2 linked regions of the Canis lupus familiaris genome follow. The protein of the gene in region 2 purifies or fractionates together with the protein of the main gene of each other region. This does not show direct contact. Links are inferred from orthologs where the notes say so. Each region holds a gene or a part of one and is shown on either strand. Other genes may lie near its edges. The genes, in order: EP300 and KLF5.

Evidence for each region.
Region 1: the proteins of KLF5 (region 2) and EP300 purify together in Homo sapiens (affinity purification with western blotting; 3 studies listed by BioGRID). This does not show direct contact. The link is inferred for Canis lupus familiaris from reciprocal best matches to the Homo sapiens genes KLF5 and EP300.

The regions. Positions count from the first base shown.
Region 1 is NC_049231.1:25,055,535-25,059,343, forward strand, and holds part of EP300 (histone acetyltransferase p300), read right to left. Parts: exon of another isoform or gene 2,781-3,809; coding exon 2,601-2,780; exon of another isoform or gene 2,395-2,600; coding exon 2,250-2,394; exon of another isoform or gene 2,219-2,249; intron 1,614-2,218; exon of another isoform or gene 1,524-1,613; intron 222-1,523; coding exon 103-221; intron 1-102. UniProt on the Homo sapiens protein: Functions as a histone acetyltransferase and regulates transcription via chromatin remodeling. Acetylates all four core histones in nucleosomes. Histone acetylation gives an epigenetic tag for transcriptional activation.
Region 2 is NC_049243.1:27,271,147-27,275,471, reverse strand, and holds the start of KLF5 (Krueppel-like factor 5), read right to left. Parts: upstream 2,869-4,325; coding exon 2,608-2,868; intron 1,023-2,607; exon of another isoform or gene 884-1,022; intron 76-883; coding exon 1-75. UniProt on the Homo sapiens protein: Transcription factor that binds to GC box promoter elements. Activates the transcription of these genes.

The sequences.
Region 1 (3,809 bases), on a different chromosome or scaffold from region 2:
CATGTGAATTAATCTGAATGAAGCTGCTAACAACAACAACAACAACAACAAAAATAACAAACCACCACCACAACAAAAACAAAAATACCACCACATACTTACAGGGATTCCTAGAAGTTGAGGGTCCACAGGCTGACGAAAGGGAAGGGATTCTGGATCCTGTCGGTAAAGTGCCTCCAATGTTGGCATCAGTGCCTGTCGTAACTCTTCTGGCTTGAAAACTTAAGAGCACATTTGAAATTAGTTTTCAGCTAAGCAAAAGAAGAAAATGCTCAAGGTAAAACTATAAAATTATCTCATGAACCACAAAACAAGATCTGCCTACACTGTCTCCATGGAGGTATCACTTAAGACACACTTTTTTTTTTTTTTTTAAGATTTTATTTATTCATAAGACAGAGAAAGAGAGAGGCAGAGACACAGGCAGAGGGAGAAGCAGGTTCCATGCAGGAAGCCCAACGTGAGACTCGATCCTGCGATTCCAGGATCACGCCCTGGGCGGAAAGCAGTGCTAAACCGCTGAGCCACCCACGCTGCCCCACGCTTCTATTTCTAATTCCTGGTCTGTCTCATAATGACTTTAGAACACCAGGTCTAGTCAGTTTTAAACATCCTTCAAGGCTCAGCTAATTTTTCAAAAATTCGGTCAAGATAAAATTCAGTTAAGATTCAGTCTTGACCAAGTAGAAACAGAATCCTAAACATTCCAAAAATTTATGAAGAAACTTGTCAAAAAACATTCCAAGGGTGGGGGGATACTGTCAAACACGAATAGAAAAAAGTCCTCATTAATAAGAACAGTATTTAACAAGTCAGAAATTAGACCTGGTATTGTCCTAATGCTAAAGCAATCAGAACCCCTGAAGGGAAGAGTCCCTCATTAAATTTAGCGTGGTGTTTTAGAGCTAAGGAAGAGGACATATTATCTTAATGGCAAATGTCAGGTTTAAGTCTAATGTCAGGTTTAAGTCTAAACAAAGAGAGAACTAAATTGTTATTGCTGAAACAATGGACTCAGTTGACCAAATTTCATTCCAGTGTGTTCTTAATATGTTTCCTAAAGGTCAGGAAAGAATTGCTAGTGTATCCCAAATGGAATTAATTTTAGCTATTATTTAAGAAGCTATACATTAAGGTTTTGGCAGTTTTGAGCTTTAAAACACTCTCAGCAGAGGCTTGTTACTTATTCTATTTACAAATTAATTTTTATCTTCAGGAAGGGTATTTGTTAGTACTTTATTGTTCACTTCATGGTGGGGATGACCATGGGGGAAAAAAAAAGAACAGATGGGAAAGGATACTTTGTTTTTCATATCTGATTATACTAATAAGAAACAAAATTTGAATTTGTGAAATTAGCTATTTACAAGACAGATTCCTAGTAAGATTAGGTTTCTTGCAGACTATATTAAAATGACACCTCAATTATAGGAACCTCATTTAAATGCAAATAATTTTTTTTAATCTCAACATTTTAAACTGCATTATATTTAACGGAACACCTTTATATATACCATCTTTAGGAGCCAGCACACTCCTCCCTTGAGAGAAGTCCTACCTGTGCCACAAATGCATCACTAGAGTCACAAGAAGTTCTAGTCCCAACCTAGTTGGTAAGTCAATTTCTGTGGGAATTAAACAACTAACGAGAGTTTAACACTCTGTATTAAGCAGAGCTGCTTGCTCGACTGGATTCATTAATATTTAAGAGCTGGTTGGGAGCAGACTCTGAATCAGCCTGCCTGGGCTCATTGATGAGATTAGTAATAAGCTGGGACAAGCTACTTAACCGTGCTGAGCATGAGGTTTTCCCTGCCTATAAACAGGGACCAGTAACTAGAGTTGTTGTTCAGTTAGATGAGACAATGCAAACAGCAATGCCTAGTGGGCAGGAGGTTAACCATAAACAGTACTATTATCACTGCTAATATTTCCTGCATTTGAGTTAAGGATATGTAACAATTTTTCTCCTCTGAAAAAAAGATAATTTTGAGGAGTTGTTAACCACCCAACCCTGAAGAAATCATGGGCATAACTGACCCAATGACTGCAGGAAGGAAATTGACCTATAAAAAAGAAACAGTCTTCTCCAACATTAGTATAACTAAGATACCAAGCCAAAAGGACTCTAAACTTAAATGAAATCACATTAAAGTCAATTTCTAAAACCTAAGAAGCCTGATCCCATTCTACTCAAAGTTTTCTTTTTTTCCCCTAGCCTCCAGGAACAGAGAGCCTAAGAGACCTACTCTTCTTCTTTGACTGTCCTGGGGCTGGAGAAGACTGGGTAGTTGAAGTACTTGGCTGGTCTTCCTCCTCTTTTGTTTCAGCTTTTAATTCAGTGCCTCTTTCTTCTGTTTCTGTAGGTTCCATTTTACAGTCCTCTGCTTTAGTCTGAAAGACAAGGTCAACATTTTTAGTATTCCAAAGACTTGCCACCAGAAAGCAACAAGATTATTATCTTATTTACTCTGTCCTGTGGACATATCTAAAGACCCTTCCTCATGTGGAAATCAATGAAATGAGACCTAATTATCAGAATGCTAAACTGGTTCCTAGACTGAGGTCCTAACCAACAGCAGTCCTTGCCCTGCTCTCACCTCTGGAATATCCTCTGGCTGAGTATCTGCTGGTTCTGGTGGATCCACTTCCATCTTAGCCTCCATTTTCACTTCCTGTGAAGGCTGCTTCTCAGGAATGGTCTGAGAATTGACTTCTGTGCTACTAGTGGATGGAGGGTTTGATACCTGCCCTTCAATGCTTACAGCTGGCTGGGAAAGCTGGGCAGAAAAAGGGAAAAAACAAAAAGTTTGCCAATGATACAACCAGAGTTTAAGCTCCACAATAGGACAGCATCATTTACCCTCTATCTCTGGACTTGAATCATTATATTCATTTATTGTGCTTTCTCATACTTGGACTATTTCATGTCCTTGAAGTAAACTGTGCTTCAGCACAGGAGCTTGAGGACTTGCAACACTGGCTGGCTGACTATACACAGGAAAGACAGCCAGTTTCTGCACTAGCTGTGTGCAATGTGTGAGGGGTAGGGTCTTAGAGATGACTGCCTCAGAGGAGAAACAAAGAAAATAAGGATTGACTATTTGTTTTAAGTTTCTGATGGGAAAAGCTGCAAATGTATAGAAAAAGTAGAGAGCATATAATGAACTCCCACACTGAGTAACTGTTTTGAATCATGACATTCTAATGGGATAACTAGCAATCTCTTTTTCCTAAGTCATCCAATAAGAAACCTCATGAGTAGTTAGTATTTTTAGGAACTACCCTAAACAAAAGTTTCCTTTCTGCACTCTGCTATTTCTTGCATATCAGAGGCTGGGATGAACCAGTTGCTAACTTATGATGTTTTATGAAGTAGCTATTGACTCAAGGGATTTCTCTGTTCACCAACATGACAGAGAAATAAAATATAAGTGAGCAAATAAAAAGTCCTGAGCCTTGACATACAGAATTCTATTGAGAATTCTATTAGTAAGGATGCAACTATTAGATGTGAACTTGGATTTCTCCTATGTACATAATGAGCCTCTCACAAGGAAGCTACTGACTGTTCCAGGCCCATACTTTTCTCATTTTAGGTCATGATTTTCAACCTTAGGACCACAGACATTCATAAACCTATAGTTTTGTTCATTCACTCTCAAGTATTCCACAGCTCAGTTTGAAAGAAATTATACATAAATGGAAAATTTATGTGGTGTACTAAACATACTATGGATTCTTACCCCTTGTCACCCTGCTTATATGCCTTCAAGTCTCAGAACACAATTCAAAAGATACAATGGTCA
Region 2 (4,325 bases):
ATACTTTTTATGCTCTGGAATCATTGAAACTGGAGGAAGCTGAGGTGTCAGATACTTCTCCATTTCACATCTTGTCTAAAAAAGAAGAGATACAAACATGCATAATCCACCCAATTCATCAGCTGAGTAAAGACAAACTTACTAAAAATTCCCCCAGCGATACCTGTGAGAAGTACTAGGGCAAGCTCCTTTCAAGCGTCGCTTATAAACGTATCAGGTTTATTTGTCCATTGTGTAATAACTGGTTTACCAAAACCCTTATGAAACTCTCTATAACGTGTATTTGGTAAAATCGCTCCCACAATCAGCCCCGGACAAAAAGTTTAACAGGCAAATCAAGAAAAAAAAAAAAAAAAAAGCAGCAGCAGCAGAAAGAAAGGATTAGAATTCCTTTCTAATCGATAACAAAGTGTATTTTTATAACTCACATACAAAAGCAGGATTCCCTACCCCATTACAGTTGAGTTTTCAACTTAAATACAGTATCGTACTACTACTGCCGAACCTCCTCAATTCTGCTCGTGCCATATTTATGTTAATACAGGTATGTTTAAACAAACAAAACCTAAGCAAAACAACCTTAAAAATAATATTGCGAAGTTCTGTTTTAGGGTTTCTTTCTGTTTGTTTGCCCAGGTAGATATTGTTGAAGTATCTAATATAACATATTCCTTGGCTATTTCAGTGCCTTTTCTCATGTACAGGTCACTGGAAACTTAAAATACAACCTCTTGAGCAGAACAGTATCCACTCAAAGAACAGAACAACTTCACTTTCAACATTTGATCTAAATGTTGATTTTAATCAGCAGATTCTGTAATTGGTTAATATGATAATGAAATGTTCCTATTCATATCCCTATCTAAAACAGATCTTTAATTACCTAGGGGAAAATCACTCCCTTGGTAGAGTGGTGCTAAGGAGTCCGTGGGTGGGGAGAGGCTGCTGTATCCCTAGCACAGTCATCAGCAAAACATTTACCATGTCCTTCTCAGTGGCCCAATGCTACATTCCCCCTTACTCTGTAAAAAAAAAAAAAAAAAAAAAAGCTCAATCATCCCTTAGCCTCTTGGTGTCTCTTAACCAGAAGTGACCAACCTGAAATAACCAAATCGTTCTCAAGTGGGGATTTTTTTTTTTTTTAACACAACGATCCAGAGCTTGTAACTAGTCACCCTCCGTCTTTTTTTTTTTCTTTTTACAAACTCTTCTATGCCAGTACATAAACTAGCACATAAACATAAACTTAATATTTATTTTTTTAACGTCGAAAAGTAAATTTTCAGAGCAAAGCAGAGCCCACCCCACCCCCATGAAATGGCTCATGCACCTATTAATCGTGGTGGCATCCTAACTGGTGAATAATACACTTTTTTTTTTTTTTTTGCTATCACTTCATTTCAAAAGCGTTTCGTATCAGACCTCGTACCATTCGCTGTGGATGTTAAGACAGGGCTTCCCAGATAGACACGATTTAAAAATAAAAACTAACGCTCGGGCCCTGTGAGTCACACCTCTGACAAATGCCCCTGCCCTCTCCGGGCACCACGAGGCCCGCAGACCCCGCGGCGGCGCAGGGGCCGCACCAAGGGGCCGTGAAACGAAGCGTCTCGAAATAAACCCAACTAAAACCCTTCCGTGCGCTTCGCTCCCGTGGTGGTTAGTGGTTTCTGCTTTTAGCTCTTCCAGCTGTTTGCATGTGGGTATGTTTCCAATTTTTTTTTTTCCTTGGGACAGGCTAAAAGTCCCGGGAAGTTTTTTTTTTTTTTTTTTTTTTTTTTTTTTCCAGGGCTATATGACTCCCTGCGTGGGCGAAAGAAACAGGCGGCTGCTCTAATTCGGCTGCCGGGCAAGTGTAAAGAGCCAACTGCCAGCTTTCAACGCGGCTCCGGGAGGAAATTTACGCGCACATGAAGAAAACAACACCCCCGGTCCTTTTTCTGGGTCTTGGCTTTTTAAGGAAAAACACACACACACACACAGACACGCCGCTCCGGTACCACCGCAGCTCCCCCAGCTCTCGGTTCCCCAAGGCAGCCCCGAGATCGCGTCTAGAGCAGCCTGAGCCCCGAGATACGAAAGTAGCACCCGAGGCGCCTCCCGCCGGCACCCGGGCTGCGATTCCACCTGACCCGAGCCTACGAGGGGGATCCTCCGTGGGGTGGGGGTGGGGGTGGGGGTGGGGGTGGGGGTCGGGGTGCATCAGGGGAGAGCCGGGATTTAGACGGACGCTGGACGTGAGGCACGAGGGGCAACGCCAAGGTGCGTGTGAGCCCCCGCTCCGCTCGAACCTCTCCCCGGACGGGCCCATCGGGGCGGCTCCGGCCGGGACGCCCCCCCCCTTCCGGTCCCCCGACTTTCTCGCTGCTGCCTGCGAGCGCCCAGGCCGGCAGGGCCGGGAGGGGAGGGGAGGGGAGGGGAGGGGAGGGGAGGGGAGGGGAGGGGCCGCCCCCCGCCCCCCAGCGCCCCGACGCACGCCCCAGCTTGGAGCGGCCCCTGTCGCCCGCGCGTCGCAGCGGCGGGACACGCCCGAGCTCCGGGAGGGGGGCGGAGGGACGGACCGACGGAGGGAGGGAGGGAGGGAGGGAGGGGAGCGCCTCTTCCTACCTGGACCAGCTCCTCCGGGGGCAGCCGCGGGCCCGCGGCGGGCGGCGGCGCCGGCTGCGGCGGCTGCGGGGGCGCGGGCTGCGCCTGCGGGTGGTGGTGCGGGTGCTTCAGCTCCTCGCCCGGGAAGAGCGCCGCGTCGCGGGCCGGGTTCGCGGCGCCCAGCACGGGCTTGAGCTGCGCGAACACGGGCTCGTCCTGCGGGGCCGGCGGCTGGGGCACGGGTCCCAGGCGGGCGCTCATCGTCAGCACCCGCGTGGCCATTGGCACTCGCGGGGGGCGGGGGGCGGGGGCCGGCGGCTCCGGGCGCGGGTCGGGCGCGCTTCCCACCTCGCCCACGCCGACGCGGGCCGGCGAGCTCGGCGCGGGGCCGCGGGCGGAGAAGGGGACGCTCCGGGCGGGCGGACCCCCTCAGCCAACAGCCGGCGCGGTCTTCGAAGGCGCGCACGAGAAGCAAAACTCTTCCGCTCCGCCACGCGCAAACGCCAACGTCTCCGCGGCGGCCACTTTCTCCCGCCCCGCCCCGCCCCGCCGCGCCGCGCCGCGCTCTCTCACTCGCCGGAGCCCGCTCCCGCCACCGCCGGTCTCCGCGAGCGAGCTGCGAGCGCGCGTACCTGCCCCGCGACTACTGACACTTGACGCCCGCCTCTATTTTACCCAACTCCGGGTGGGCGGGGCCCGCCGGCCTGACTGGCAGCGCCGCAGCGAATCCCGGTGCCCCGAGGCCGGCCGGGCCGGAGGGCGCAGCCTATGAGGAGGGAGAGGCTCACGCGGGCCCCGCCCCCGCCGCGCTGACCCGCCCCCTCGGGCCACGAGCTTTCGCGCGCAGGGCGGCCGCGCAGTTTGTACACAACTTCTCTGACAGATTGGGCTGCCGGAGCCGGGGGCGGAGGAAAGGAGAGGCGCGGGTGGAATCTAGGAAGAGAGGGAATCGGGGTGGAGACGTGGAGGGAGATCTCTCCAACTGTTCTCCGCCAGGGCTAGGGAGAAAAAACAAGAGGTTTGCACGTCTTAGGTGTTGTGCAAGGGACCTGAGACTCCAAAGCCGAGAAGCCCGGCAGGCAGCGAGGTGGGGGCGCCGAGGGTTCGAGGGGCTTCTCTCAGGAGCGTGTATTTTTAAATATACAAAATGTACTTTTCTTTAGCGGAGAACTAGGGGCGGTGTGATAAGCAAATTTAAAAACAGCTCTTGTGTCTGTGTGTCTTCAGCAGTGAACGTGTCCATCTGGAAGGTCCTGAATAAAAGGTTTAATGGCCAATAGATTTTTTTTTTTTTTTTAAGTCCTGGCATAGGAGCTTGTTTTCCCCTACACTATGTAAATGGCTGGAAAGAAGGTTTCACACCCAATTTCTACCTCGTATCTGTATGGGGAGGAGGAGGATGGGAATATGGGGATATGAATTTTGAAGTTTTTGATATTTACAACTTTTGATTCTAGCCGAAGCCTGGAATCTAATTTAAGCCCTAACGACTAGTTCCAATGTATTTAAATAGAGATTACATCTTTGACTTGTTTTTGCTAGCACTGTATGTTCAAAAAAAAAAAAAAAATGGAGCTCAATATTTACAAAACAGAAACGTGGCACATTTACCTGACACTGGGGCACCTTTTCCTACGAAAAGACAACCAAAGGAGCCTTAGACGCTCAGCCGCTCTGAAAACTGGGAATCCAAATTTGTAGGAAAGTAATAGTCCAATATATTACCATCCATTAACTAC